Linked DNA regions of Ovis aries. The protein of the gene in region 2 interacts with the protein of the main gene of each other region in a biochemical or structural test. Links are inferred from orthologs where the notes say so. Each region holds a gene or a part of one and is shown on either strand. Other genes may lie near its edges.

The links.
Region 1: of the proteins of CTNNB1 (region 2) and UBE2B, one has a biochemical effect on the other in vitro, tested with the Homo sapiens proteins (2 studies listed by BioGRID, with this or other methods). The link is inferred for Ovis aries from reciprocal best matches to the Homo sapiens genes CTNNB1 and UBE2B.
Region 3: the proteins of CTNNB1 (region 2) and CHUK form a complex in vitro, tested with the Homo sapiens proteins (2 studies listed by BioGRID, with this or other methods). The link is inferred for Ovis aries from reciprocal best matches to the Homo sapiens genes CTNNB1 and CHUK.
Region 4: the proteins of CTNNB1 (region 2) and MAGI1 form a complex in vitro, tested with the Homo sapiens proteins (2 studies listed by BioGRID and IntAct, with this or other methods). The link is inferred for Ovis aries from reciprocal best matches to the Homo sapiens genes CTNNB1 and MAGI1.
Region 5: of the proteins of CTNNB1 (region 2) and AKT1, one has a biochemical effect on the other in vitro, tested with the Homo sapiens proteins (2 studies listed by BioGRID). The link is inferred for Ovis aries from reciprocal best matches to the Homo sapiens genes CTNNB1 and AKT1.
Region 6: the proteins of CTNNB1 (region 2) and NEK2 form a complex in vitro, tested with the Homo sapiens proteins (2 studies listed by BioGRID, with this or other methods). The link is inferred for Ovis aries from reciprocal best matches to the Homo sapiens genes CTNNB1 and NEK2.
Region 7: the proteins of CTNNB1 (region 2) and TCF7L1 are reported together in a solved structure, tested with the Homo sapiens proteins (2 studies listed by BioGRID, with this or other methods). The link is inferred for Ovis aries from reciprocal best matches to the Homo sapiens genes CTNNB1 and TCF7L1.

The regions. Positions count from the first base shown.
Region 1 is NC_056058.1:43,592,772-43,596,144, reverse strand, and holds the end of UBE2B (ubiquitin-conjugating enzyme E2 B), read right to left. Parts: exon of another isoform or gene 2,400-3,373; coding exon 2,311-2,399; exon of another isoform or gene 1,050-2,310; coding exon 921-1,049; 3' UTR 501-920; downstream 1-500. UniProt on the Homo sapiens protein: E2 ubiquitin-conjugating enzyme that accepts ubiquitin from the ubiquitin-activating enzyme E1 and transfers it to a E3 ubiquitin-protein ligase. In vitro catalyzes 'Lys-11'-, as well as 'Lys-48'- and 'Lys-63'-linked polyubiquitination.
Region 2 is NC_056072.1:13,857,380-13,860,879, forward strand, and holds part of CTNNB1 (catenin beta-1), read left to right. Parts: intron 1-1,008; coding exon 1,009-1,153; intron 1,154-3,500. UniProt on the Homo sapiens protein: Key downstream component of the canonical Wnt signaling pathway.
Region 3 is NC_056075.1:20,910,791-20,914,290, forward strand, and holds part of CHUK (inhibitor of nuclear factor kappa-B kinase subunit alpha), read right to left. Parts: intron 2,055-3,500; coding exon 1,960-2,054; intron 403-1,959; coding exon 288-402; intron 1-287.
Region 4 is NC_056072.1:35,499,128-35,503,279, forward strand, and holds the start of MAGI1 (membrane-associated guanylate kinase, WW and PDZ domain-containing protein 1), read left to right. Parts: upstream 1-1,352; 5' UTR 1,353-1,956; coding exon 1,957-2,269; intron 2,270-4,152. UniProt on the Homo sapiens protein: Plays a role in coupling actin fibers to cell junctions in endothelial cells, via its interaction with AMOTL2 and CDH5. May regulate acid-induced ASIC3 currents by modulating its expression at the cell surface.
Region 5 is NC_056071.1:66,978,450-66,982,430, forward strand, and holds the start of AKT1 (RAC-alpha serine/threonine-protein kinase), read right to left. Parts: upstream 2,801-3,981; 5' UTR 2,572-2,800; intron 1-2,571. UniProt on the Homo sapiens protein: AKT1 is one of 3 closely related serine/threonine-protein kinases (AKT1, AKT2 and AKT3) called the AKT kinase, and which regulate many processes including metabolism, proliferation, cell survival, growth and angiogenesis.
Region 6 is NC_056065.1:71,252,353-71,256,518, reverse strand, and holds the start of NEK2 (serine/threonine-protein kinase Nek2), read right to left. Parts: upstream 2,801-4,166; 5' UTR 2,710-2,800; coding exon 2,614-2,709; intron 1,412-2,613; coding exon 1,194-1,411; intron 913-1,193; coding exon 672-912; intron 1-671. UniProt on the Homo sapiens protein: Protein kinase which is involved in the control of centrosome separation and bipolar spindle formation in mitotic cells and chromatin condensation in meiotic cells.
Region 7 is NC_056056.1:57,176,871-57,180,370, reverse strand, and holds the end of TCF7L1 (transcription factor 7-like 1), read right to left. Parts: intron 3,318-3,500; coding exon 3,239-3,317; intron 1,543-3,238; coding exon 1,109-1,542; 3' UTR 147-1,108; downstream 1-146. UniProt on the Homo sapiens protein: Participates in the Wnt signaling pathway. Binds to DNA and acts as a repressor in the absence of CTNNB1, and as an activator in its presence.

The DNA.
Region 1 (3,373 bases), on a different chromosome or scaffold from region 2:
AAGATTCCTTCCAAATATCTGCCTTGTTCAAACCAATGCAACAAATTCTTATATTGTTAATTGTAGGGCATGGATTTTTTTAAAATGTTGATCGTTTTACTTTCTTCATTATCAAAAATCTTTTAAAGTGTTATCAAGCAGCAAAGTAAGTTGCATAAGCTCTCTGCTCAAGGTAGAGGTGCCAATACCCCATGGTGGAGGTGCAAACTGTGAAATCAAAGGGTGCAGTTTAACAGTAAGTAGTGCATGAAGAAACAATAATAAGTGGCCTAAATACAGAGCTGGACAGAATCAAACCAGTTATAATTGCTCAACTAAAACTAATAAAGGTACATTCAAAATACAGTTTGAGATTATAATTGGTTATTTAGAATCAAATCTGAATTTCTTGATAAAATATAAATCTGTTCTTTTGAAACTGGAAATGAAACTATCAATTGATAGAGAGCTAGAGACTTATTAACCCCTCCTACTTAGATAAGGAAATAAGTGACAAAGTCTCTTGCACTGAAGTATGTATTTTAACAGCTTTACATGTAATATTCATATATAAAAAACTTTAAGTGCTTTTCTCCAATTTAAAAATCTAAAGAATTCAAAAATAAGGCATTCAATATTTGAAAAAAGTACAGATTTACAAAATGTGTATATTCTGTCATGAAAACTCCACACCAACATTATACACTTGGAAAAAAATACAAACAGGATATATTACAAATTTATGTAAGCAATAACTTAGTTCACACCATGCAATAAAAAGTACATTAATCAAGATACACAAGCTTTTGTAGGTTCTAAACTGAAGGACTTTTTTTCTGCAGAATCCTTAAAACCTGTGGCACTTAAAATTTGTTAGCCTTTCTACTGAGAGGTAAATTATACACAACAATGATGAAAAAGATTAACAGACCAGTTGTCTATTATGAATCATTCCAGCTTTGTTCAACAATGGCCGAAACTCTTTTCTCATATTCTCGTTTGTTTTCCTGATAAAGCTGTGCTGCCTGACTATTGGCTGGACTATTTGGATTCGGTTCATCCAGCAGAGACTAGAAGGAAAGAAAGAAGGAAAAACACATATGTAGAGTTATTTTTTTATATTAACATGGGTCAGATATGGAGCACAAAAGTTACAGAAAACAGAAATTACTTAATGAAGAAAGAAATTAGTATGTCTCATGTATTTTTCAGACCTAAACACTTTAGTTTGATAAAGACAGTAAGAAGTTTCCTATTGCTACAAAACTTCAGTTTTCAAAACAGATAGCTCTCAATTGCCTTAAGACCTCTAATTTCAAAGAAATTGGAAAAGAACAAACATTAATTCAGCATACTGCGATATTAAACGGGAACTAAACAATTTGATTTGGTTAATATACAATGTCTACAAAATACCTCAGCAACTAACATTTTCCAAAGTTAAACTCTATTATTGTGATAGGTTTGCAAATTCCTGGCAGTAAGTTGGGTAGTATACCTTATTTCCTTTAATCAACAAAACATATACACCTAGCAGCAAGGGAATATATTAATAACAGCAAGACTGAAAATACTATTTATGACTCAAATTAAAACAGAAGTGTGACAGAAAAAACTTGAAGGCCACAAACCAAAATATCACATCTGCTCCTTTCAAATCCATGTAACTAAAACTTGACTCCACCTCAAACCTTCCTCCTAAACTGTCATTCAAGGTCAACTCTGAAATATTCTGCCAGAGTGCTTTGGTGGATAGTTACATTCTTTTCCTTTGAAACAGCATTTCCCGGATGGGGCAAAATGATGCTTTTCTGCACTGCAGTTTCTTGAGGTCCCTATGTTTTTACTAAACAATTGTCTTTCTCTCTCCCCAAGATTTTTTCATCTTTCTCCATCACCTCTGGCTATGCTTTCTAGGCATGAATAATACTTGACCGGTGAGGGAATTTCCTGGTGGTCTAGTGGTTATAACTCTGCACTTGCACCACAGGGGGCACGAGTTCTATCTTTGGTTGGGGAACTAGGACCCCAAGGCTGCAAGATGCAGCGAAAAACACCCAAAACCCAAAGAAACAAAACAAAATTACTTGATCTGTGAGAACAATTTATACTTTATCAGGAAAATGATCATGGATTTGATCCAACATGATCACTAATGAAAAAGCAGATCAGCTGTATGAAAATCCTGAGGATTCTGTATGAGGTTTGCCACTGGTAACCTTAGTGTTGGGAGTGTTAGTTTGCTCACTTGGCCTTTAAATTGATCCTAAAAGAGTCAATTATATTCCATAGAATCTTGAAAAATTAAGATGCATTCTAACACATGCTTACCTGAATTGATGTTAAGATAGAAGATACATCGTATGTTGGACTCCATCTATTCTGAAGGATATCTAAACATATGCTACCATCAGCATATACTGCAAAGACAACACTAAAATTGGTTACATGTTAACTTGGTCATATCTAATAATTAAACAGTAATTTTTTTTTTTTTACCACAAACAGAATGCCTGGCTCAGTCAGAAGCCTTGAACACTGGTTAATGACTAAAACTTTCTCACAGGAAAATCAGTCTCAAACTAACGACTGTTTACCACATACCTTTTGATGAGGAGGCTGAGTAAGTTAAATTTTTTCAACACATGACATATAGCAAATCTGTTTAAATTCCACACTTCTAAATATTCCTAAATAAAGCTCTTGGGGGGGGCTAATTTTTTGAAATAGCAATTCTACTTTAAAAGTAGTAATGATGCACATGCGAAATTTTATTTACAGCACATTCTCTATCACACTCTCCACAGAAGTGAAAAACTGGAAACGGTGTGTGGTCCCCAGTGAGGGGACTGGCTGAGTAACAGTACATCATTAATGGCACAGACCACTACTGCTGCCAGAAACGACACACGTCTACCATACGTTAATTAACGCAGAATGACAACCCTAATATATTACATTAATAAGTTTCCAATTACTTATATAATCCCATTTCTTATAAAGAATCATTTACAAATACTTTAATTTGAAGTACAGGCAGTCACAAAAATGTGTAAGACTCAAAGCCAAAATGTAGATATCTGTAAATAGTAGGATTATGAAGGATCTTATTTACCTTCACTTGTACTTTGATTTGTTTTTCCAATAAGTATGCATTCCTCTCATAATAAAAATAAGAATCAAGTGATTACTATTTTAAAAGTTTAACATTTGAGAGTGGATTTTTCCCCCTCTTGATTATGAGAATACAAACAATGAATACAAATTTTTATCCACTTGCCAGATTATGTATATGTACAATAAATTTACAAAAATAGAATCACTGTTGACAAAGGATAAGTGCATTCGAATGTTATCAATACTATCAAATTGTGGAAAGCTTCACAGAACAGTC
Region 2 (3,500 bases):
ACATCTCTGTTTAACTGTTTGTGTTGGTGTGTACACTGTACTAGGTGATAGGGACATAGCATGCAAGCTGCTTTTAAAGCTTTCATTGTTGGGTGGAAGAGAGACACTGAAATAATAAGCTAATTTATTTAGTTCAAGTTTTAGGAGGAAGTAGAAGGGCTATATGAGAGCATGTAAATGAACCAGACCCTTTTTTGAGGGTTTATGCATATTTCTTGGAGAAAGTGATGGATGAGTTCACAGCTCTTATGGATAAGAAGGGATTGACTAAGGTGAATGAAGGTTAGGGAGAGGAAATGGCATCTGTGACAGTTCTCCTGAGGGAGGGGAGGACCAGGTGAGGTTTGGAAATTCAAGAAATACAGAGAGTAAGGAAGAGAAAGGGTTTGAGATAAGACTGTTGAGATAGGGCAGATCCTGCAGGGCTTAGTGGAACATGTTAAAAGAATAATGGGAAACAGTTCTTAGCAGAAGCATGCAGTGAAAAGATTTGTCTTTGGAAATCGGGGAAAAGTCAGGAGGTGGGGTATGCAGGGAAGGAAAGGTGGGGATAAATATTTAATGCTGTCTCTTTTTTAGGTGGATATGATGAGGAAAGGCCAAGAGCCAAAGCATATATTAGGAGTTTTCATTAATAAGTGCCCATTCTGGTTCAGATTTCCATGCAGCAAATCAGCCGTGACATAACTTTCGTATCTGGGCATTACTGTTCAAACATGGATTTTGGGGTTTTTTTTTCCTTTTACTATGGTCAGTGTGGGAAGAATAATACTGGGCCAGAATTTATATATTTTGGGGAGGACTGAGGTACATGAATGTGAGTGAAATTTTGTAGAAGCAGAGCTTAAATATGACCCCAGTCTGGAGGTCTAGTTAATGATGACCAGGTATACATTTATGTCACTAAGCTGCTGAAATTCTTATATGATAAAATCAGTTGGTAATAAAGGCTTTTCTCGGGCATTTGATCAAGGTTCCATGATTAACAATACATACACATCTTTCTAGCTCATCATTCTGGCTAGTGGTGGACCTCAAGCTCTAGTGAATATAATGAGGACCTACACTTACGAGAAACTACTGTGGACCACAAGCAGAGTGCTGAAGGTGCTGTCTGTGTGCTCTAGTAACAAGCCGGCTATTGTAGAAGCTGGTAAGTGTACTTGGCTATTCTGGGTTCTCATGCGTGCAGCACATGTAGTTCTCATTAGGTTGCCTTTCTTAGGAAAAGGGTGATCAAACTGACCTTCACAGGCTGAAAGTAGACGGTTGTATTCAGTTTGAAGCCAAAGTTGCATTCAGACAAAGGATGTGTTCTGCTTGCCACGTTCTTTGGTGCTGTTCAAGCCTAGTTCAGGCAGAGATCATATTACCAGAAACGATGGCTGATAATAGGCTTGATAACAGCTATTCCAGAAATACCTGAAATGTTTGTTTAAAAAAAAAATACAGATTTTTAGACTGACTTAATCAGAATTCCTGGAGTATTGAAGTGACAAGAGAGTCAGTAATAGTTGGAAATGCCTGGGACTGGAGGCCTAGGAATCTCGATTATAAGAAGTTTCCCATTGGGGAGGGAGGTGGGAGGGGTTTCAGGATGGGGAGCACATGTACACCCATGGCTGATTCATGTCAGTATATGGCGAAAACCACTACAATATTGTAGTTAATTAGCCTCCAATTAAAATAATTAAAAAAAATTTCCGAGGTTATTCTGATGCTCATTTGTTTATTCTGAAAATATTCAGCCCCTGTGTTTCAAGCTGGTATGCAGTGGGCAACAAAATAGGTATGGTCCCCGTATTTATTCTTACAGGCTGGTGAAGGAGACAGAAATCTGCAAGATGATGGGGTGATTACAAATTGGAATGAGTGTCACGAGAGAAATGAACAGCAAATAGTGATGCAGAGTTAATGGGGCGGGAATGCCCTTCTCTCAGAGGGGGATGTTAAATGAAATCACAGAATGAGAGGGCTTCATCTATATGAGAAGTAAGGATTAAGTGCAAGCCAGATGGTCCTAAAGGTAGGAAAGAAATCGTTGCATTCTAGGTGCTGAAGAGGAAGTCTGTGTAACTAGAACCTAGTGAGTAGTGGGATGAATAGCTCAGGGTGAGGGTGATGGGCCAGAGCCAGGCAGGCTGTGTTGTGCCGGACTTTCTAGGTCCCTGGATGATGTTTATTCATACTTTATTGCAGCTTTGGAAACACAGGTGTTGAATGCTTAGGTCAATTTAAGATGAAGTCCAAATCCTAAAGGGTTCCTAAAGGTTATGCTAAAGAATTCAGTCTTTATCTTGTAATGAGAAGTTGTTGTCGGCTACAGCATCACAGTGAGGTGTTTGGAATATTAATATTAGCATCATGTGACAGTTTGACCAGAGGCAAGCAGACCAGGCTGATGGGATGTGTTATAGGCTTTTAGGAATGAAGTCATTTGATATTAAAAATATGTAGCAAAGGATGAATGTTATTTAGGGAGTTGATATCTGTGAAGTGACTAAAAGGTCAGTAGGTAGCTGGAAATGTTTGCTTCTGGAATGCTAGGGAAGACTGGGTAGGGATAGAGATTAGGGAGTTCCTTTCTTAGTGGATGTGGGTAAGGGCTTTGGGAAGTCATTGGGGTGTCTCAAAGCCATCTTCACCCCAGGCATGCTCAATCAGAATGTGTGTGTGTAAGTCTCTGCAGGCTGTTCGGAAAGGCATCTGGAAGTAAAATCCCCTCTCGTAGAGTTGATGGTTCTAGTAGAGGGAGAGAAGGGAGACAGGAACCAAGTCATTGTGAAACTACTGAGCGTCAGCCCTGAGCACTCTGTTAGCAGCTGGAGCTACTAGGAGGAAGGCACCAGATAGGGAGGGTCTGGTCTGAGTGGTGGGCTCCATTATAGCTGTGAAAAGTGCTGTGAAAGAAAAGTACAAGGTGCGTGAGAATTACAGCAAGTTGACCCAATCTAATTGAGGAAATAAAACAGACCTGAAAAGATAAACAAGGAGACAAGGGTATATCCCGCTGCATTTGGGTAAAGAACCTGCCTGCCAATGCAGGAGGCAAGAGACACAGGTTCGATTCCTGAGTGGAGAAGATCCCCTGAAGAAGGAAATGGCAACCTACTCCAGTATTCTTGCCTGGGGAATTCCATAGATAGAGGAGCCTGGTAGGCTACAGTTGATAGGATTGCAAAGAGACACAACTGAAGTGACTTAGCATGCATAGCATTGCATGGCTGACCTAACTTAATTGAGGAAATAAAACAGATCTGAAAAGATAAACAAGGAGACAAGAGAAAGTATATCCCACTGCATTTAGAAGTGAGAAAGAGATGGTGAGGTTAAGCTAGCCAGTGTGTGGGGAATTGAGCTTCCGTTTAGACTCCTCTGCAGTGTAAATGTCCTTCATTAGGGTCCTGAACAAGAGGAGGTTGTGAATCTTTGAAGAGCATCTTTTGCCTTTAATACAGCCCCCGAGAGTAAGCATTCTGGTGCTGTCTTTTTAGACTGTG
Region 3 (3,500 bases), on a different chromosome or scaffold from region 2:
AGTCCCATCCTGAAACACCACTGCCACCAACAAAAATATTCATGTTCTAAAGCAGGGGTCAGCAAACATTACCTGTAAAGGGCCAGAGAGTGAGTTCTTTAGGCTTTGCAAGTCATGCAATCTCTGGCACCACTACTCAACTCTGCTACTATTTTAAGAAAGCAGCCACAAAAACAGATAACAAGCCATAGTTTACTGACTCTTACTCTAGATTATTGTACTGAGTGGGATTCAAAGACTGCTAGAGTTCATGTTACTATCTCATCATCTCAAAACATCCACACTACCTTCCGGAGATCTCCTCCAGAACAATATTCCATTGCTAGAAGAGGCACATCGTTAATCAAAAAATTCAATTCCTCAGGAACGTCACAGGCCTTTACAACATTGGCGTGGTTCAACCTAACAAGGGGAAAGCATTATAATAAAAGATTTGTTTCCAGTGAAAAGGGACTCAGTTTGAAATAGTAGTTAATTGGGGGCAGTGAGACGAAAGACTGACTTTATTTATAATATTCTAATTTCTCATTTGTATAATTAAAAATTGATACTTGTTTAAAAATTTTTAATTTGTGTACAAATACATGTTTTTCAATAAATATTGAATCACATTATATATTGTTTCCTAACATCTTTTTTTAAACTTAGTAATATATCAAATCACCATCATCATCACACAATGGTCTCTAAACTAGAATAGATTCCCAGGGCCCAAGGACCTAAAGAAACAGAATTTCCATGTGTAGAGCCTGAGGATTTGTATTGTTAAAAAGTTTTTCTAGTGATTCTGCCACACAGCCAAGTTTGAGAACCATTAAAATGCATTGAGAACACTGAAGTCAGAAAGTGCTTATTTCAACTCCAGACTCTATTACCTATCAGTTGTATGACTCTATAAGCTTCAACTTTTTCTTTAGTAATGAGACACAGGGTTGCTGTGACAACTAGAACATGGGTAAGCCCTTATTAGCACTCTACCTGTGGAGGTTTTAAAACATAGCCACTTCTCCCTTCAAAAGCTTAATTCTCTTTCCCTGAAGTAGAGGCTGTATTTAGTGACTGATTTCTAATAAATAGAAATTATTTGGAAAGGATAGAGCATAGCTTCTGAAGGAAGATCATAAAAATATGTCTGCCTGCTCTCTCTCTCTCTCTCAGATCACTGACTTTGGGGAAAGTTAGCTGCTATGTTATGAAGACATTCAAATTTCCCTATGGAGAGAGAGGCACATGTGGTGGGGAACCGATGCCTCTAACCAACAGACACTAAATGAGCTTTGGAGTGGATACTCCAGCCCCACTCAAGCCTTTGGATAACTGCAGCCCCAGTCAACATTTTGAGATGTTTCAGGAGGCATCTCTTAAGTCAAAACCACCTAAGTCACTCCCAAATTCCTAAACCACAGAAAGTGTGAGACACCAAACTTCTGTTGTTTTAACCCACTAAGCTTAAGGATAATTTTTTACAAAGCAATAGATACAATGTTTAACAAAAGTAGGTGAGAGTAAAAATATTTTTTTAATGAAAGTAGTGATTGCTATTTAACTATAAAGTATAACAGATAAGCACTGCCTGATACCCAAAAGAAACAGATTCTGCCCTCAGAAAGCTGAGTCTGATAATACCTAACTGACATTTTGTGTTTTTAGAGCAGAGAAAGGTTTACAGCAGGGCCATGCAAGGAAATGGTGGCTCATGCTCTAAAAAACCCCAAGTTCCCTGAAGGGCTTTTTGTTTTTCTTCAATATTATACTATCATTACCTAGATAACTATTTAAACAAAACCTACTTAAGCATGATGTGATGTTATTATTTGAAATAAAACACACAAATTTAATGAGAAAGAGAAAAATATGTTCCTCAAAAGATCCTAAGAATGGATTCCTAGCCACCTTCCCTATGATGACATCTGGCTGGGATGCAAAACTGGGGAAATTTAAGTCATCAAGTACACTTACTTCTTCATGATCTGGATTTCATGGCACCACCGTTCTCTATTTTTGGTACTTAGCTCTAGGCGACAAGACTTAATTGCTATTTTGAGATCAAGTTCCTGCCAAAATAGAAAATCAACAGAAGATTATAAATTAGGTTCTTGTGCAGATTTACTTGCTATCAAAGAGATGCCAACTTGGGAAAACAAAACTCTTTTAGCTTTACTAATTAAACATATTTATCCACAGTTCTCTTGAGTCAATGCTTCTGCCAAGTAAGCCATGAGACTAAACTAACGTTTTTAAACTGAACTTCAAACACCAAAGCACACAAGCAAAAAGTTACTGAGGCTGATCCTGTAACAAATGTCTTCAGAACACCATCTTATACATGCTGCTAGAATATAAAAAGACTGTCTCCCCAACAACCCCTTTCTGAATTTAGTCAAGGTAGCTAAAAAGGGTCCCAGGTTCCAGCATAACTAGAATGCAGAGAATGATTCAGGGCTCCCTGCCTCAACAGTAAGAAATAGTTTTAATATGACCAAATCTAATACAAAAAACTCCAAAACTATTTCCTAATTTTTGCATTTCAAATGACATTAAAAAACTCCTAACAATGGTTGTATGTTTCCATGTCTAGAAAACAGACCTAACAGAACTTGCCTCTATGACTAGTAATTTAGCCAATTCTAAGTGAAATTAAACCCAACCTGATGCACATTACAGGAAGTAGCCGGACCTCATCACATTCTGGCAACAGTAATAATGCAGCCCACGAACAGGAAGCAAGACACAACTTTTATAGGATGGTCTGAAATGGGGGACAGCAAGAAATAAGATAACTGACATAAAGAGAGAGAGTGAGGAATGAGGCCAGACTACAATCCAACCTAACCAGGGTCCTCCCTCCCTTCAACCTCTCGTTATGAGCAGATACTGAGCTGCTGCTAGGTCCCGTGTACGTTATCACTATGGAGTCAATCTGGTACAACCATGAACAACATTAAGTCCTAAATTCTCATATGAGTAAGGCAGAAAACTATCTATTTCAAAAAGATTTCATCCTAAAGGATCCTTCAACCTCTCGGTTTATATTTCAGCTACTCTCTGAAGGCCTTCCTCACTTTTCACAGAGAATGCTCTGTGGAAAGTTTATACATGTCCAGCAAAACAAAAAAAGAAGAGTTCGGTGCTTAAAAAAAAAAGGTAATAGTAATATGCAGGAGATGAATGGTGGTGATGGCTGCACAAAATGTGAATGTACTTAATGCCACAGAACTGTACACCTACAGGTAGCTAAATGCAAATGTTATGCACATTTTACCACAATAAAAAATGGGAACATACTAAGCTGAATTAGTTTCTATTAGTTCTTTACTATAGGACTTCACAGAGCTTTTAATACGCTATTGTGGGTTATGACTTTGCAAATGATGAAATATTATATGCAGCATTTATAAAATGTACTGACCACAGTATCCTTTTTTCAAAGCATTTTACAAGATTAGTTTTTCCAAACACATTGTGAGAACTGCCACCCTATGTCCTAGGAAGAGTTCTTG
Region 4 (4,152 bases), about 22 Mb from region 2:
CTTGTCAGGTATTGTTACACTTACTTAAGAAACTCAGGGTCTGAGGGGTCCCAGCGCTTGGTCAAGATCACACGGACACTGGACCGGTGAGAACCTAAACCTCAGAGCCCAGCTCTCAACCGTGACCTCTGCGGCACCCCGTCCTTTCGGAATCCTTTACACTCACCTCCCTTATTTAGCACTTGAAATCTCTCTTGTGACCCAAGATGGATAAATAAGTTATAAATCACTGAGGAAAAGAAAATGTTTAGGAGACTATCGCCCAGGCCGATTGGGGAGTATTTAGGGAGGGTAGCCTTGCCGGTGCAGGATATTCTTTCTGTCCGCAGCCCCCGAGCACGTTCCGAAACCTAGCAGGGACATTAGCTGGCTCTACCCCCGCCCTCGGGCGGTGCCCGAGGCAACAGCAACTCCAGGCTGTGAATTCCGAGAGGTGGCTGCCGCGCCCACGCCCCCGCGGGCGCCAGGACTTGGGTGCAGATCCCAGACCCAGGAGTGATCCTTATCTCCTGGCCCCGGGGCGGGTCCAAAGGCTGCCCAGCTTAGCCAGGAACTTGAGTCCAGGACAGACGCCTGGTTCCAGAGGTCTCTGGCCGCCAGTTTTAAAGAGCTAGACCCTTTTCGGTTGAAGACCCCAAGCCTCTCTTGCTTTTAGGCTTCTTTCCCTCGCCTTATACTTTATCTGCGTCCAGAAAAGTTGGCCCTAAAGTTTAAGGATGCAGATAAGTGTGTGTATACGTGTGTGGGCGTGTGACGGATCCCATTTGGGGGACCACCACGGCCCCCCCTCCCCAGGGTCGCAGAGGCTGGGGCACACCCTACTCAAAGACCAGAACCCGCCCTCACAGTGCAGGTTGGGGGGAAGCCGGGCAGGCGCACTCCTCTGGGTTGGGGTCAGGGTATTAGAGGGAACTGCGGCGGGGGGTGGGCTGGGTGACGGACAGCGTGGCCAGCCACTGGCCGAGGGCGGTAAGGAAGCTTAGGCCGGCGTGTGTGCGTGCGTGTGTGCGTGAGTGTGAGCGCGAGGGTGAGTGTGCGCCTCCCCAACCCCCACCTGTTTGAAATGGTTTTAAAATACCCAAGCAGATTGCCCATGTTTTTAAGTTGCAGTCAGTTGGAGTAAAACACTTCCTCCTCTCCCAGACCCCCGAAGGGGCTATGCAGAGTCGTGAGCACTGAAATAAAAGTAGGAATGAGAAGGGTGTGTGAAGGGGGAGAAAAGTGGCTGATCCTGGAGAAGTCGGACTTAGGACCCAACGGGAAGCACATTGGAATCTCTCACTTCGGGAAGGCGGGGTGGGGCGGGCCGGCCGGCAGGCGGTCGCGGGGCGCATGCGCGCGCGTCTCCTCTTGCCGGCCGCTGCGCTCGGCGGCGCGGAATAGAATGAACTGTAACAAAACAAGCCGAGCCTTTGTATCTGCTTAAAGGGGACGCAGGCACTTCCCTCCTGTCCCCCCCGCCCCCGCTCAGCTACCGCGTCTCCAGGGCTCCCAGCAACTGCCTAGAAGGGCTTCCCTCACCCTCAGAAACTGCCCGCCAGCGAGGAAAGGCGACCCAGGCGGGAGGCAAAGAGGAGACACCGCATTTCTAAGAGGCAAGAAAGAAAGGAAGGAAAAAAAAAAATAATCCAAGCTGCGCAGAGTGGACTCTGGTCCCAGAGAGCACGGTCGGGCGCCGGAACGTGGACCGAGAAGCACCGGAATGCAAACAAAGCTCGCGGGCGCCTGTGCAGGGCTCGCGGGGAAGCCCAGAAAGTTTGTTTTATGATGGCTTGAGTGAGCGAGTGTGTGCAAGGGAGCGAGGCTGCCAAGTTTCTCTCTCCCGCTGCGTTGTTTGTGGGGGGAGATGTCTCTCCCATGAACCAGCAGGGGCTTGGGGGCTTGTGCTGTGGGGGGCACCTGTCTCTCATTTTATCATTATTTTTTTTGGCGGGCGTAGTAGGGGTGTAACTCATCATGTCGAAAGTGATCCAGAAGAAGAACCACTGGACTAGCAGGGTTCACGAATGCACCGTAAAACGGGGACCCCAGGGAGAGCTGGGGGTGACGGTGCTGGGGGGCGCGGAGAACGGAGAGTTTCCGTATGTCGGAGCGGTGACGGCTACCGAAGCGGCGGGGCTTCCCGGCGGCGGCGAGGGCCCTCGGCTGAGCGAGGGCGAGTTGCTACTGGAGGTGCAGGGGATCCGGGTGTCCGGCTTGCCCCGCTATGACGTACTGGGAGTCATCGACAGCTGCAAGGAGGCCGTCACCTTCAAAGCCGTCAGACAAGGTAAGTCGGGCCGCGCCTCCTGGAGGCGCCCCCAGAAAAGAACCGGCCTGAGAAGTCTCCCCCCCGCCCCCCTTCCGATTTCCCGCTTTTCTTCTGCGAACGCGGCGTAGGGGCGATGTTGAGGCCGTGTGCCCAGTGATGGTGAAATACACCAAGTTGTTGAGAGGCTGTGGGTTGCTTGCCCACCTGCGTTGGGAAGAGGGGCTTGGGTTAGCTCGGGGAAGCGCAGAGATTTTTCCCTGGCCCGGTTTGCTAACCTGTTATCTCTGCAACCAAGCGCAGCAGTGGCTTGCCTGCACCGGGAGGAGAGTTGGGGAACTGAGGCAGGGGCAAAGTGGACGCTCTCCTGGCTCCCTGGGCGAGTGTTGCAGCGGGCGCAGCTACTGTGTTCTTTGATCTCTTATTTGTTTTCAGACCTAGAGAATGGGTATGAAGGAGGTGAGGGTCTTTGATTGTTGGACATCCTTAATCAAAAAATCAGCATCACCCCGTGACCGGCCAGGTGGGCTAGGGCATCACCACCTTTCAGTCCTAAAGCTTGCAGCTTGAAGATCTTGCATTCACCCCACAGCTGGATGACGCATGTGTCTCAACCCGTGTGGCCTGGCCCCAGACTTTTGGGTGGCGTGGGGGGAGAGAATAGAGAGGGTATTTCAGCGCCATTCAAGCCCGAGTTTATACTGCCACCAACATCACCACCATCCCCATCACTGCAACCATCGTCATCATCCCTGTGAAGATGATTATAGCTGCTGTTTCTTATTCACTTATTATGTGTCAGGTTCTATGTAAAATGCTTTCCTTGCACTCTTTTGTTCTGATGCACAACAATTCTGAGAGCGAGTGTTTCTTCTAAACCCCCTTATGTTACCGATAAGGAAGCTGGGACTGACATTGTTTCATTTACTGATATTGGTTCAGTTACTTGCCCAAGGTCACACAGATGCCAAGAGTGAGGGTTTGAAAATCCTTGCTGCAGAGCCTTAACCACCAAGGAGGAAGAGGATGAGTGTGGGAGACCTGAGGGGTGCACTTAAGAGAAGGGAGTGGAAGCAAATTCACCTCTGGGAAGCTTGGAGAGGAGTGATATGGCTGCTGGTTGCGGGGAGTCCCTTGCATCTTAGTTTGGTATAGGCTCAGGGCTGTCCCTGAGTAGAGAAGTAGAGAAGGAATGGATTCCCTTAAAGGGGTCCCTTGTATGACCAAGCACCGTGATGCAGGTTCTTCCCTGGTTGAGCCCTGGTGAAAAGTTCACACATGTGCCTGCGTGCTTGAAAGGGCAAGCAGCAGCTGGAGGACTGTGTCAGAGGAAAGGAGGGCTAGGCTGAGCTAGTCCTCTTTTGGAAACAGGCCTGTTCCAGATGAAGTGGAGGAGGGGGACAGGGAGAAGAGACGGGCCTTTTGGTAGCTTTGGGAGCTGAGGGACTGACAGTTATGGAAATCTCCTTCCATTTGTGTCCTCATTATCTGCTTGCACACCTCCTCCAAGAAGCCTTCAGGCACCCTGCCAGGATGAAGAAATCAGCGTTCCTCTGGACTCTCCTAAATGTGTGTCTTGTCAGTTTTCTGCTTATTCTGAACTATGCGTTAGATCCCTTCCCTTCTTTCCATACAAGGTGGTAAGCTCATTGAAAGGAGAGAATATGCCTCATTGACTGCACACCACCTCAGCTTTGCTTAAGGTCCAACACCTTGTCTCACCTGGAAATATGTCTCCCGTTATCTGTAAACTGGCTGTTTTGTATTACATAAACTTATAAAGGGTGCAGAATAGTGCCTGACACATAATAAGTGCTCAGTAAAGACCAGCTATTATTGTTATGTTTCAAGTGAAGTTGGGGCAGTTATTTATTTCTATGTCTAGCTTTTAAGTTTAGCTTTAA
Region 5 (3,981 bases), on a different chromosome or scaffold from region 2:
TCAGGCGCATCTTCCCACGTGGCCTGTCCCCCTTAGCCTTCAGAGCTGCCGCCTCCCCACACATGGCCTTCCCACCCCGGCTCCAGATCCCAAGTCACTCACACGGCTCCCAGGGCCAGGCCTGCCCTGCCCCCAGGCTGTAAGCCCCCCCGCCACCACCCCTCCCGGACCCCAAAGCCCTCAGAGCTCACTGTCCCCGTCTCTGACCATTCCCACCTCCCCCGACCTCTGTACAAATGACCCCTGTCCCCAAAAGGCCCCGCATGGTATATCCCAGCCGCCCTAACCTGCCAACCCAGCAGAAGCCCTCTCTTCCAGGCAGTCCCCCTGACTGCTTCGGCCCACACCTCCTGGCCTCCGCAGTCCCCTGGCGAGGGTACCCAGGTCTCCCCGTCCATGGTGCTCCTGCCCCAAGGTGGGCGTTCCCGAGAAGGACCCAGGCCTCCTCCTCTCCGTCCCAGACTGGGAAGCAGAGGAGTTCCAGCATGAAGGCAGGGCCAGGCAGGCAGGCGGCTGCTGCAGACGAACTGGAGCCCTCCAGGGCAACACACGACCCCTCACAAACCCACCCCAGAGAAACCCCAGGCCCCCCCCTAAACCTCAGTGCCCCGCCGGCCTGAACCAGTTCATTCATTCGGCCAACATGGACCAGGCATCTCTGGTTTTGCCAGGCTCAGCACTGGGCACTGGGGACAAAGAGAGGTTCAGACGAGTCCTGTCTGCGAGGAGCACCCAGTCCAGGGTGGTTACAGACCCATAATTACAGCATTCAGCAGGCAACAAACCAGGGATGGGGGGACTGTGCAAACACGGAGGCCCGGCACCAGCCCTTCGGAGGCCCACCAGCAGCCTCCTCGTGAGCAGACCCTTTGGCCATTGATCCTGTGTGGCCCACCCCTCTGCTCCCCTGTTGGATGAACTCCTAGGCACCCCTCAAAACCCACTGCCCACATCACTGGTTCTGAGCATCCTGGGAAACAGCATTCTCCCCACAAGCAGTCCTCCGCTACCCTTCCAGTTGGGCACTCAGGAGGGTAGGCCTGGAAAGACTCCTCTCTGGGACCCTCAAGCTGGGCAGACACCCCTAAGTATCTCCAACATGGTATATACCTACATATACACTCTTCCTACACACACTCCCTGCACGCATCTCCCACAGCCCACCTTCCTGGGCTCCTGGAGAAAGCCACTGTGCACTGTCCATCCTGGGCTAAACCTAGAAGGGCAGGAGGACCCACGCTCTGCTTTGTGTCTGACCCCCGTCAGCGGGCCCACAGGCAGGCGTGGCAAGGAAGACTGGAGGAGGGACCACCAGGGCCTGGACTCAGAGCCAGCCTGGCTCGCACAGGGGGCTCTGGTGACACTCGAGTGGGCGTGGCCTGGAGGCAGAGGGCTGGACTCAAAGACCTCTGCACGGGTGGGCCCCCCCCCCCCCACGGGGCTGAATGGGTCTGCTGCTGACAGGGCCAAACAGCTGTGGAGAGCCCCGCGTGTAAAAATCTGTCTGCGCGCACACACAGGGCGGTGTGCCTGTGCGCAGAAAGGTGCACACCGCCGGGGCCGGGGCTGCCTCCCCTCGGGACGGGCGGCTCGAGGGGACCTCTGCTTCTGCGCTTCCGTCCTGGGAGTGCCTTCACCACGAAGGTGAGTTACTGCTATGACTGTTCAAGTCACGACCTTCCAAAAAATAATAATCTCTGCTCCGAAAGGCCCCCTCCCTCGGCCTCCAAAACACCAGTTTATACACTAGATGTTCAGCTAGGGGGCAGGGGACCAAGCCCCACCAGTGCACCCCACTCTTCATTTGAAACAGAGGCCCAGGGCAGCTAGGAGTGGCCTGAGCAAGGTGGGAGGGGGCCAGGGGTGACCGCCGGGGGGGCATCTCTGGCCCCAGAGCACAAGCCCACAACCCCAGCTCTGTCCACCAGCACTGCCAGGACCCAATCCCACCCACCAAGTTCACCAGCTGCCCCGGGATCCCCCCAACCGGGGGCAGGAGCCCCAGCCTCGGGGATGGGTGGGCAGCACTCGCGAACCCACCCAGCTCCAGAACCAGTCTCAGGGCCCAGGAAGGCTGTAGTCCTTTGTGGGAGGGCCTAGGCACCCAGCCACCACGGACAACTTTTTGTCCATGGGAAAATGAAGTCCCTTCCAAGGGCCCACCCACAAACTTGAACGAGAGCCGGGTCGAGTCTTTTCCCCGGGCCCCCGAGCACCTAGTGTGCGCCGGGACCCCGCTGGCCGGGCGCCCGGGGAGCCCTCGGCCGCCACGGACCCCCGGCCACGGACCCCGGCGAGCGGCCGCACCCCTCCGCCCCGGCCCGGGCCTCGCCCGCCGGAGCCGCTTCCCCAAGGTCATGCGGGAGGCTGGGGCCGGAGGCCCGCCGCCCCGCCGCCCGCCCGGCCCGCGCCTTCCCCGCCCAGGCCTCTCTCGGCCACTTCCTGCTCCCGCGCCTCCATTCCGGCCGCGCGCGGCCCGCGCCCCGGCCCGGGCGGCCGCGAACAAAGCGGCCCGGCCGCGGGGAGGAAATCCGGGCCCCGGCGGCGGGCGGCGGGCGGGCGGGGACTCACCGGGCGCCGCGTCCGGCGAGAGCGCGGGCCTAGCCGGGCCGCGGCCTCCGGCGCCCGCTGCTCCGCATCCCCGCGGACCGGCCGGCCGGGGCCGGGCTGGAGGCCGCGGCGGGCGCTGCTCGGGCGGGCCTCGCGCGCCGCCGGGCCCGGAGCTCGTGCGCGGCCGCCGGCTCGCTCCTCGGGATGCGCTGGCTGCGCGGCTGCGCTGGGCCGGCCGCCCGCCCGCCGCGCTCGGCCCCGCCGGCCCGCCCTCTCCCCGCCCCGCGCCCGCCCCGCCCGGCCGCCCGCCCACATCCGCCTCCGCCGCCCGGGGCGTCCCCTCCACGGGGAGCGGGAGCGCGCGGCGGGAGTCCCTGGGGCCGGGCCGGGCCGCCGGCGGAGCCCGGCCGCTCCCGCCCCTCCCCGGGGCCTGCCTCCGGGCCGCGGCCTCCCTGGCCTCGGTTTCCCAGTTTTGTCCGGCCAGCCCGCACTTCTCGGACCAGTCCGGCCTCGACCCTGTTAACAGGGCCGGCGTGGGCTGAGCCGCCTGCTTCTGACTCCCTCCGGCGGGAGCAGGGCTGGAGTGTGGGTTAGTCTGACTTTTAGAATATGCCCCAAGCTGGGGAGCTGGTGGCTCGAGGGGCCACGGTGGGCCTAACAGACCCAGTCCAAGGCCCTTTGCCTAGCGCAGGCCCCTTGGGTGGGGGGGGGGGGGGGTGCATGCAGGCGGCTGGCCGGTGGGCAGCCATCTGTCTGTGGGCTGAAGGCTTGCTTGGGTCTGGCCCTGGGCTGGGCCCTCATTCCTGGTGGGGGTCTTCCAGAAGCTCCCCTCCCCAGAAGGAACACGCAGACATCTGGCAGCTACAAAAGCGAACAGGGACCTCACGTGGGGACCAAGAAGAAAGAGGGCCCAGGGCCCGGGGTGGGGGTGGGGGCGGGGGAGGGGGTCGCCATTCAGCACACCTGGCCTGGAGGGCCCCCCTGAGTCAGTACAGACACCCAGAGGGGGTGCAGGAGGGCAGTCTCCAGAAAAGGGCTGTGACGGCTTGAGGCAGACCAGGGTCCTCCCTGATGTCCCCAGGGGCCCTGGGCACTTGTAGGGCGCTGGGGGCCAGTGAAGGGGCCAGCATGGCACTGCAGACAAGCCGCCACCCCACCCCTCCCTGGGCCCTGCTGTGCACAACCTTTTCCAACAGCTGCCCCTCCCCCCACCCCCAGGCCTCCAAGTTGACGGCGATCCCTTCACGAAAGGAAGACTTGGGGGCTCCCTTCCTGGCATTGGTGTGTATTTGGGGGGAGGAGGACATTTTTGTTCTTCCTCCAGAGTCAGAGTTTTAGCCTGGTTGGGAGGGGTGGGGTATAGACACTTCATCTGGGTCAGAGGTGGAAGCCGCTGAGCGCCCAGGACAGCGTCCGCAGCTGTCCCTCCCT
Region 6 (4,166 bases), on a different chromosome or scaffold from region 2:
AATCATCTAAGGAGTCTGCTAAAATACAGAGTCCAAAATAAAAAGGTAGGGGACAAAAAGATAAAAAGTTGAGTGCAAAGACCAGTCCAGAGGTCCTAAGTCCCTGGACTGGAGCCCAGGACTCTGCATTTTAAACTATCACTCCAGCTGAGAACAAGCTGGTGTCCAGGACCTATGGCACTTTGGAAGTACTGTACTTAAGGGCAGAGACAAAACCTATTTCATCTCTATGATCCCCAAGCTTAGCACGTGGCAGCCATTCAGTGAAAGTCTGACTTGCATTGCTGATATAGAAGTTTAGCGGTCTGGTGGTGGGACTTCCCTGGGGGTCCAGTGGTTAAGACTTCGCCTTCCAATGCAGGGAGTGCAGGTTTGCTCCCTGGTAGGGGAGCTAAGATCCCACATGCCTTGTGGCCAAAAAAACAAAGCATAAACAACAGAAGCAATACTGTAACACATTCAATAAAGACTTTAAAAATGGTCCACATCAAAACAAAAAATAATAATAATCTTTTAGTGGTCTGACGGTCCATTTGAAAATTATCAATTTAAAATAAAACAGTATTATTAATTCTTGGCTATTAGATATTACTAAACAAAGAAATAAATTTCCTTGCTTGAATGCTTAGCATTAAGATGTTTTAAAAGTATATACATTTTGAAATACTTACAGGAGACATGTAATAAGGTGTGCCAACAAATGTTTTCGCAAAACTTGTATCATGGTTTAATATTCTAGCTAGCCCAAAGTCTCCAAGCTTAACGTTCTGCTTGCCATCCAGAAAGACATTGGCTGGTTTCAGATCCCGATGCAGCACAGTGTGGCCGCCATCACTTCGTCTGTGACATTCCTTTAGGGCCAGAGTCAACTGAGCCATCACACGAAGAACAAACTCTTCATCCAAGTATTGTCTGAAATCAAAGCAGTTATGTAGCATGTATCTGCTGAATGAAACCATTACAAAGATGACAGGATGTGAATTATCTAGTTTTCTAAGTATACACATAGGGAAATAAATTATTTGGATATGAAATTCAAGTGTTGACTTACCAGGGATTTTCTAAAGTACTGTGGACCCACTGAACAAACACAAGACGACTCTTCCCCATTACTAAGTACTTTGTCCCTGATCCTAATATAGGATGTTTCCAGAAACAAAACTAGGCCCATTTAAGAGATGAATTTATCTTACCTTTCCTTGGTTCCCTTTGAAATCACACCAGCCAGGTCTCCTCCTTCGCAGCATTCCATGACAATGTACAGGGTCGTGTTGGTCCGGTCAATAATTCTATCATAGTAGCGGACAATGTTTGGATGTTTCAGCTCCCGAAGCAAATTCACTTCAGAAACAAGCATTTGTTTCTCAGTTTCTGTCATGGAGCCATAGTCAAGTTCTTTCCAAACTAATATCTGAAATAAAAATTTCCAAGGTATAAATGAACTCATTATAACTCCAAATTTTTCAAATTAAAAAAAAAAGTTACTTATCTAGTAAACAGATCATACAGTCACTATTTATCTAATTTAGTTTAATGAGCTGAGGACCCCTGAGTTTATTTCCATAACCTTCCCCTAATTTTTAAGCAGTGAATGATGCAACAGAGGGTGACGAGGGAGGTTAGGCCGCCCCCAACCCTCTGCCCTCAATGCCTAGTGGGAGGTTGGCAGAAGGTACTCTAATCAAAGCTGGAGCAAAGGCGATTGAAGTCCCCAACCATTCCAACTAGTCAAAATTTCTAGGGTAAGAGAACTTAGTAAAGACCCTTCCATCTGAGCTAACTTCCTTTCCATTATTTTTCTGTGTGGGTCTACCCACACACCTTGGGAGATATGAATCTAACAATGGGAATAATGAGTTGGTGATGGACAGGGAGGCCTGGCTAGCTGCGATTCATGGAGTCGCAAAGAGTCGGACACGACTGAGCGACTGAACTGAACTGAACTAAATGAATTCTGACTACAAGACATAAAAGTTCTAGGTTCTGATGGTTATGATAGAGAATTACATTTCTCTAAAAACAGCTCAGGAGTCAGCTACCAGTCACCAACAGAAGGCCCATGGCAGGTCAAAGCAGAAAAAAGGAAGAAAATGGAAGAGAATGGAAAAAAGACAGGAGAAGAAGAAATATACATATATATATACATACATTCTACTTGGCACATTTTATTAGTTTTACTTTGGCCACGTGATAAGAGCTGACACTGGAAAAGACTCTGATGCTGGGAAAGACTGAGGGCAGGAGGAGAAGAGGACGACAGAGGACGAGATGGTTGGAAGGCATCACCGACTCAATGGACATGAACTTGGGCAAACTCCGGGAGCTGGTGAAAGACAGGGAAGCCTGGCGTGCTGCAGTCCACAAGGTTGTAGAGTCGGACACGACTGAGCGACAGAACAACAACAACAAAGAATTAAGGCACAGATTCACAAATTTAAAAAAAAAAAAAAAAAAGGATGCGGCTTCCCATCCCTCGAGAGACCCAGGACAGACACAGATCTGGGGGAGAAGGCTGGCTCTTCTGAGCACCCTGCTTTTCAGATGCACACCGCCAGGCTCCCTGCTTCCTCTGGGCGGCCTGGGGGCGGAGGCAGGGACCAGGCCCGCGCTCACCTTGCCGTCGCTCTTCCTGCGGATCTTCTGGCAGCGGCCGTAGGAGCCGGTGCCAATGGTGTACAGCACCTCGTAGTCCTCCACCCGAGTCGGCATGGCGGGGCCCGCGCAGGACGTCTGCGGGCCGTATAGTCTCCTCAGAGCTCCAGCCCCGACGCTCGGCCGCCCTGATCTGCAGCCCCGGTTTAACCGTCGCGGGCCCCGACCTCGCAGCCTATTGGCTCGCGGTGAGGCCGCTTCGCCTCTCTAATTGGTTAAGAAGAACACAACACGCTGGGCATCTTGGGAAAAAGGTATCGCTAGGCAACCGCGTCGGCGTCTGTGTCGACTTCCGCTGCCAACCTCCAGGGAGAAAGGGGCGGAGCTAAAGCCCAAGGTGGGCTGGGGACCGAAAGCTGCAGCGAGTGGGCGGTCCCCGCCACCTTGTGCCTCCTCCGCTGAGGTTGCCGAGGCAACCTAAGTCCAGAGATCTTTCTTCAGTTATTAGCGCACAGCCTCAACCGACTGCCTTCTGACCTTTGCACTGTGACCTCTCACTCTCCGGCACGCGCCCTCCGCTCTCAGATTCCCGCCCCCTGAACCCGGGCGGGGTCATATACTAAATCCTGGGAGAAAAGCTGAGTGCAGAGGTGAAAAGTACCGGCCCTCTGTAAAGGGTGCGCGAGTGAGGCCGACAGTGCTGAGGGATTGTGCCAAGCACTTTACATGTATTGTCTGGTTTGTAATACAGGAATTAGCGTTATTTCCCATGAAGAAACGGAAGGGTAGAAAGGTCACAGTATTTGCTTTAGGTCCAAAAGCGAGGACTCAATGCAAAAACAGTGGATATTTATAGTAATGATTTAAAGTTTTCACATGACTTTAGGGTGCAGCCGTCCTAGAGAGAGTATATTTTTGAACACCAGACGTGTACAAAATCTCTAGGTGGAAAATGGAATATGGAAGTCCTTGATGTTTTGAAATACCCAGAAGAATATGGTGGTTCTATAAGATAGAGATGGGCTTACCTGGTAGCTCGGTGGTAAAACAATGTGCCTGCCAATGCAGGAGATGCGGGTTTGATCCCTGGGTGGGGAAGATCCCCTGGAGAAGGAACTGGCAGCCCACAATATTCTTGTCTGGGAAATCTTAGGGACAGAGGGGCCTGGTGGGCTACAGTCCGTGGGGTCACAAAGGAGTTGGACACAGCTTAGTGACTAAACAACAATGTAAGGCAGAGACAGTCAGGTTTACCTTTAAGACTTAAAATTTGTTGTTGTTGTTAGAAAAGACTACCTTTGCACTCTGAATAGATTATCTGAGGTGCCAGGCACATAAATAATTGAAACACTTTGTTGAATGCAGCCTCTTGGAGTGTGCACAAAAACCAACATTTTCAACTCACCCTGCCAGCTGGAATTGTCCCACTTTTACCTGGGATACTGCACCTGGAGCCTTCTATCTAAGGGGTGGATGGAGGAATTTATACACTACAAGAAGGCTAATACTTTGGCAATGCACAAATAGGTCAATTTTCTTTAAATATCTGTTTAGCATGGGATTAAAAGGAAACT
Region 7 (3,500 bases), on a different chromosome or scaffold from region 2:
GGATTAGATTTTTCTAGTTCTGTCAGGCATGACTTACATCCCCTTCCAAAAGAGGCATTCCTCTTTTGCATTCTGTAAAAATCTTACACAGCCTTTGGTGTGAAGAAAGGGGCTTGAGTCAACAAAGGACTAAAATACTCAGCAAAGTCTTGCAACTGCAATTTTATTTTCTTTTGTGAAAATAAACAACTGGGAGTTTAAATTGCTCAAAAAAAACCCCATAAAAATGAAAAGAAATACACACAGAAGAAGCATGTGAGGTGACTGGGGAGGGAGGAGGGTCTCAGAGCTTTGGCAGATTGTGCTAGCACATTCCCGGGTGACAGGAGCCAGACCTGTCTGCCACTCCGGGGCTGTGAGGGGACATCTTGACTGGTAAGGGGATGGAACACAGGCTTCTTCGCTGAGGAAGTGGCAGGCACCTTGAGTCCCTTTAAATGCAGGGGAGAACCATTTTAGAGGACCTCTTCCTCCACAGAAAGCTGGAGGCTGGGGGGTGGGGGTGGTTTAGGGCCACTGAGGGAGAAGTGTGCTGGTGGAGACAAAGAGGCCAAGGTGTTTCTCACGTGGTGACAGCCTTACACTGGGCAGAGGACGAAGATGAAGGCATGAACCCACAGGAGCAAAACGTGGGCTAAGTCAAAGGGAATGTCAAGGAATGGGTTGTAGACGAAGAGGCTAGAAATGGCAACAAGGGCCAACGTGTAAGCTGGAATGAGGGGAGCCAGGAAGCAGGGGGTGGGGGCTGGATGTGTGAGAGGATGGGAAGAGGAGGGAGGGCAGAGAGTCCAGGAGGTAGAGAGTGGGGTGCCTTCTGCCCAGGTCCATCCACCACTGCACACACAGGAAGAATAACACACTACTTTTCAGTTCTCGTTTTCCTTTTTTTTTTTTTTTAAAGATTTTTGTTTGTTTGTTTTTTAAAAAAAGACTTAAGATCAGCTACTGGTTACATCTACAAACCGTAAAGTGCTGCTGTTACCAGTCACTTTACAGAACAGTCCAGAGTGGTCAAATATTGACCAATAAAGTTTCCTTTTTTTTTTCCTTCTGCATCCTTACTACTCGATGAGTCACGTGACAGCCTGCATAGGTCAAGGGGGGCAGCTTAGTGGGCAGACTTGGTGACCAAGGACAGAGGCTGGGCCTGGAGCACGGGGAGGGCCTGGTGGGCGTGGAGCGTGGCGGGGAAGGATGGGGGGGACGTCAGCAGAGCTGTGGGCACAGACCCCAAAGGGAGGGGCCGGGACAGGAGCGGGGGCTGGCTGCCCATCTGGCCAGAAGAGGTGGCGGCAGCCTTTGATGACAGGAAGGCGGCTGAGTGGAGAGCCAGCTGGGCCCGGGTCTCTGGCTTGGTGGTGAGGGAGAGGGGCTGGGCTTGCTCCGAGTGGGTGGCGGCTGGGGCGGCCGGGGAGGCCAAGGCCGCGGAGGGGGTAGCTGGGGAGTCCAGCATGCTGCCGTGGGAGGAAGCTGGGCTGTCACAGGGCTTCTCGGGGGGCAGGTACTGGACACATGGCTTCTTGCTTTTGGAGGCCAGAGCACCTGCGGGGGTGGGGGTGGGGGGACACAAACAAGAAAGTCAGCCGCTAGGAACGCTGGGAAAGGCGGAAGTAGTACATAAGACCCGGGAAACAAGCATGCGTAGAGGGAGGGACGTGAGGCCCTGAAATGACGCCTAAGACTTTCAGTACACCTAGAGCACAGAAAAGGGCCAATACCAAAATGCCAGAGACCCCGTTCAGTATCTGCCTGGAGGTAAAATAGCTGAGCTTATCAAATTATCGTGCTGTGCTGTGCTCAGTGATGTCTGCCTCCTTGCACCGCTATGGAGTGTAGCCCGTCAGGCTTTTCTGTCCCTGGAATTCTCCCCGCAAAAATAATGGAGTGGGTTGCCATTTCCTTCTCTAGCAAATTATCATCTTCCTGCCTAAATCTTATCATTTGGGGGATGGATCTCCATTCAGTTTCTTTAAAATCTTTGGTTTATGATCCTCCTAGAGATAGTACAGCGCCTGCCACGCACCAATTCAACAGATTTTGCGTCATATACATAGTTAATTTATGTGTACTCCTATGGAGATAAATAAATTATAGAGATATTAGAAAGCTAGGAAAGGAAGTGAAAGGAAAGGCGATAAAAAGCACTTTGTGTGTGTGTCTGTGTTAGCTGCTCAGTCACGTCTCACTGTTCACAACCCTATGGACTGTAGCTCACCAGGCTCCTCTGTCCATGGGATTCTCCAGGCAAGAATACTGGAGTGGGTTGCCATTCCCTTCTCCAGGGATCTTCCCTACCCAGGGATTGAACCCAGGTCTCCTGCATTGCAGAAGGATTCTTCGCCACCTGTGAAGCCCTTTAGATGGAACTAAACTAGTTCTACCCTTGTGCTGGAATGAGCGTGAGATGGGAGGTGTGACTGAAATACTGGCCAAGGAAGGGGCTAGTCTGTGCTGGGTGAGATTCTGATGTAAAAAGATATTTGTGGCACAAAAGGGCCTTCCTAATCCAAGCAAATGATTGTTTCTGATATTCGGCCAACCAAACATTGAAGGAAAACCGCAATCTACTGGATTCACTGAAAGGTGGTATGCCAGTCTCTAAGGGGCTGGGTTCCTAAGGGAATTTCAAGGCTCATTTCAACAACATTCAGTTTTTACTTTTACTGCATTGATTTTAGAACCTAACCCTCAATAAGATGAAACTCAACTGAATTGAAGAGCACCTTTTGAGTGACAAAGCGCTGGACCAAACCCTCCCTCCATTTACCAAGCAGCATGACCAGGAAAATCCTTTCACTTCTCTGAGCCTCTAAACTGATCATCTCCAGAAGGGGGGTAATAATAACACCCACCTGAGTATACCCAAGTGGTACTACTGGTTAAGAACCCTCCTGCCAATGCATGTAGACATAAGAGCAGCAGGTTCAATCCCTGGGTCAGGAAGAGCCCCTGGTGGAGGGCATGACAACCCATTCCAATATTCTTGCCTGGAGAATCCCCATGGACAGACAGGCCTGGTGGGATGCAATCCATAGGGTCGCAAAGAGTCGGACATGATGGAAGTGACTTAGCACGCATGCACAAGTGTACATGAGGCAGAGGCCTTGAAAATGGCAGCTATTAATATTAAAACACAGCGTTGACATGGTGTCCATCAGAGAGCCATGCACAGGGTGCTGGCAGGCGTAGCTGACACAGTGGGAAAAAGTAAAGACGCAGTTCCCTCCTGAAGACTCACCATCTGCCTCCTGGACTTGCTGCTGCTGGGACTGTGTCTGGGACAGCTGCTTTTCTCGCTTCCTCTTCTTTTTCTTACCCTGAAAGATATAGCCAAAGGAAAAGGTAATAACCAGGGACAGAATAACGGCTTTTCTGATGGATTCAGTTATGAAGTGGGGTTGACAGGATATTTTCTGTACCAGGCGCCCAGGTCCCATTCTGTGCAGCAGCCTCATGCGGAGACACAGTGAGCCTTTCTGGGGGGCCACCTCCCTCCCCTC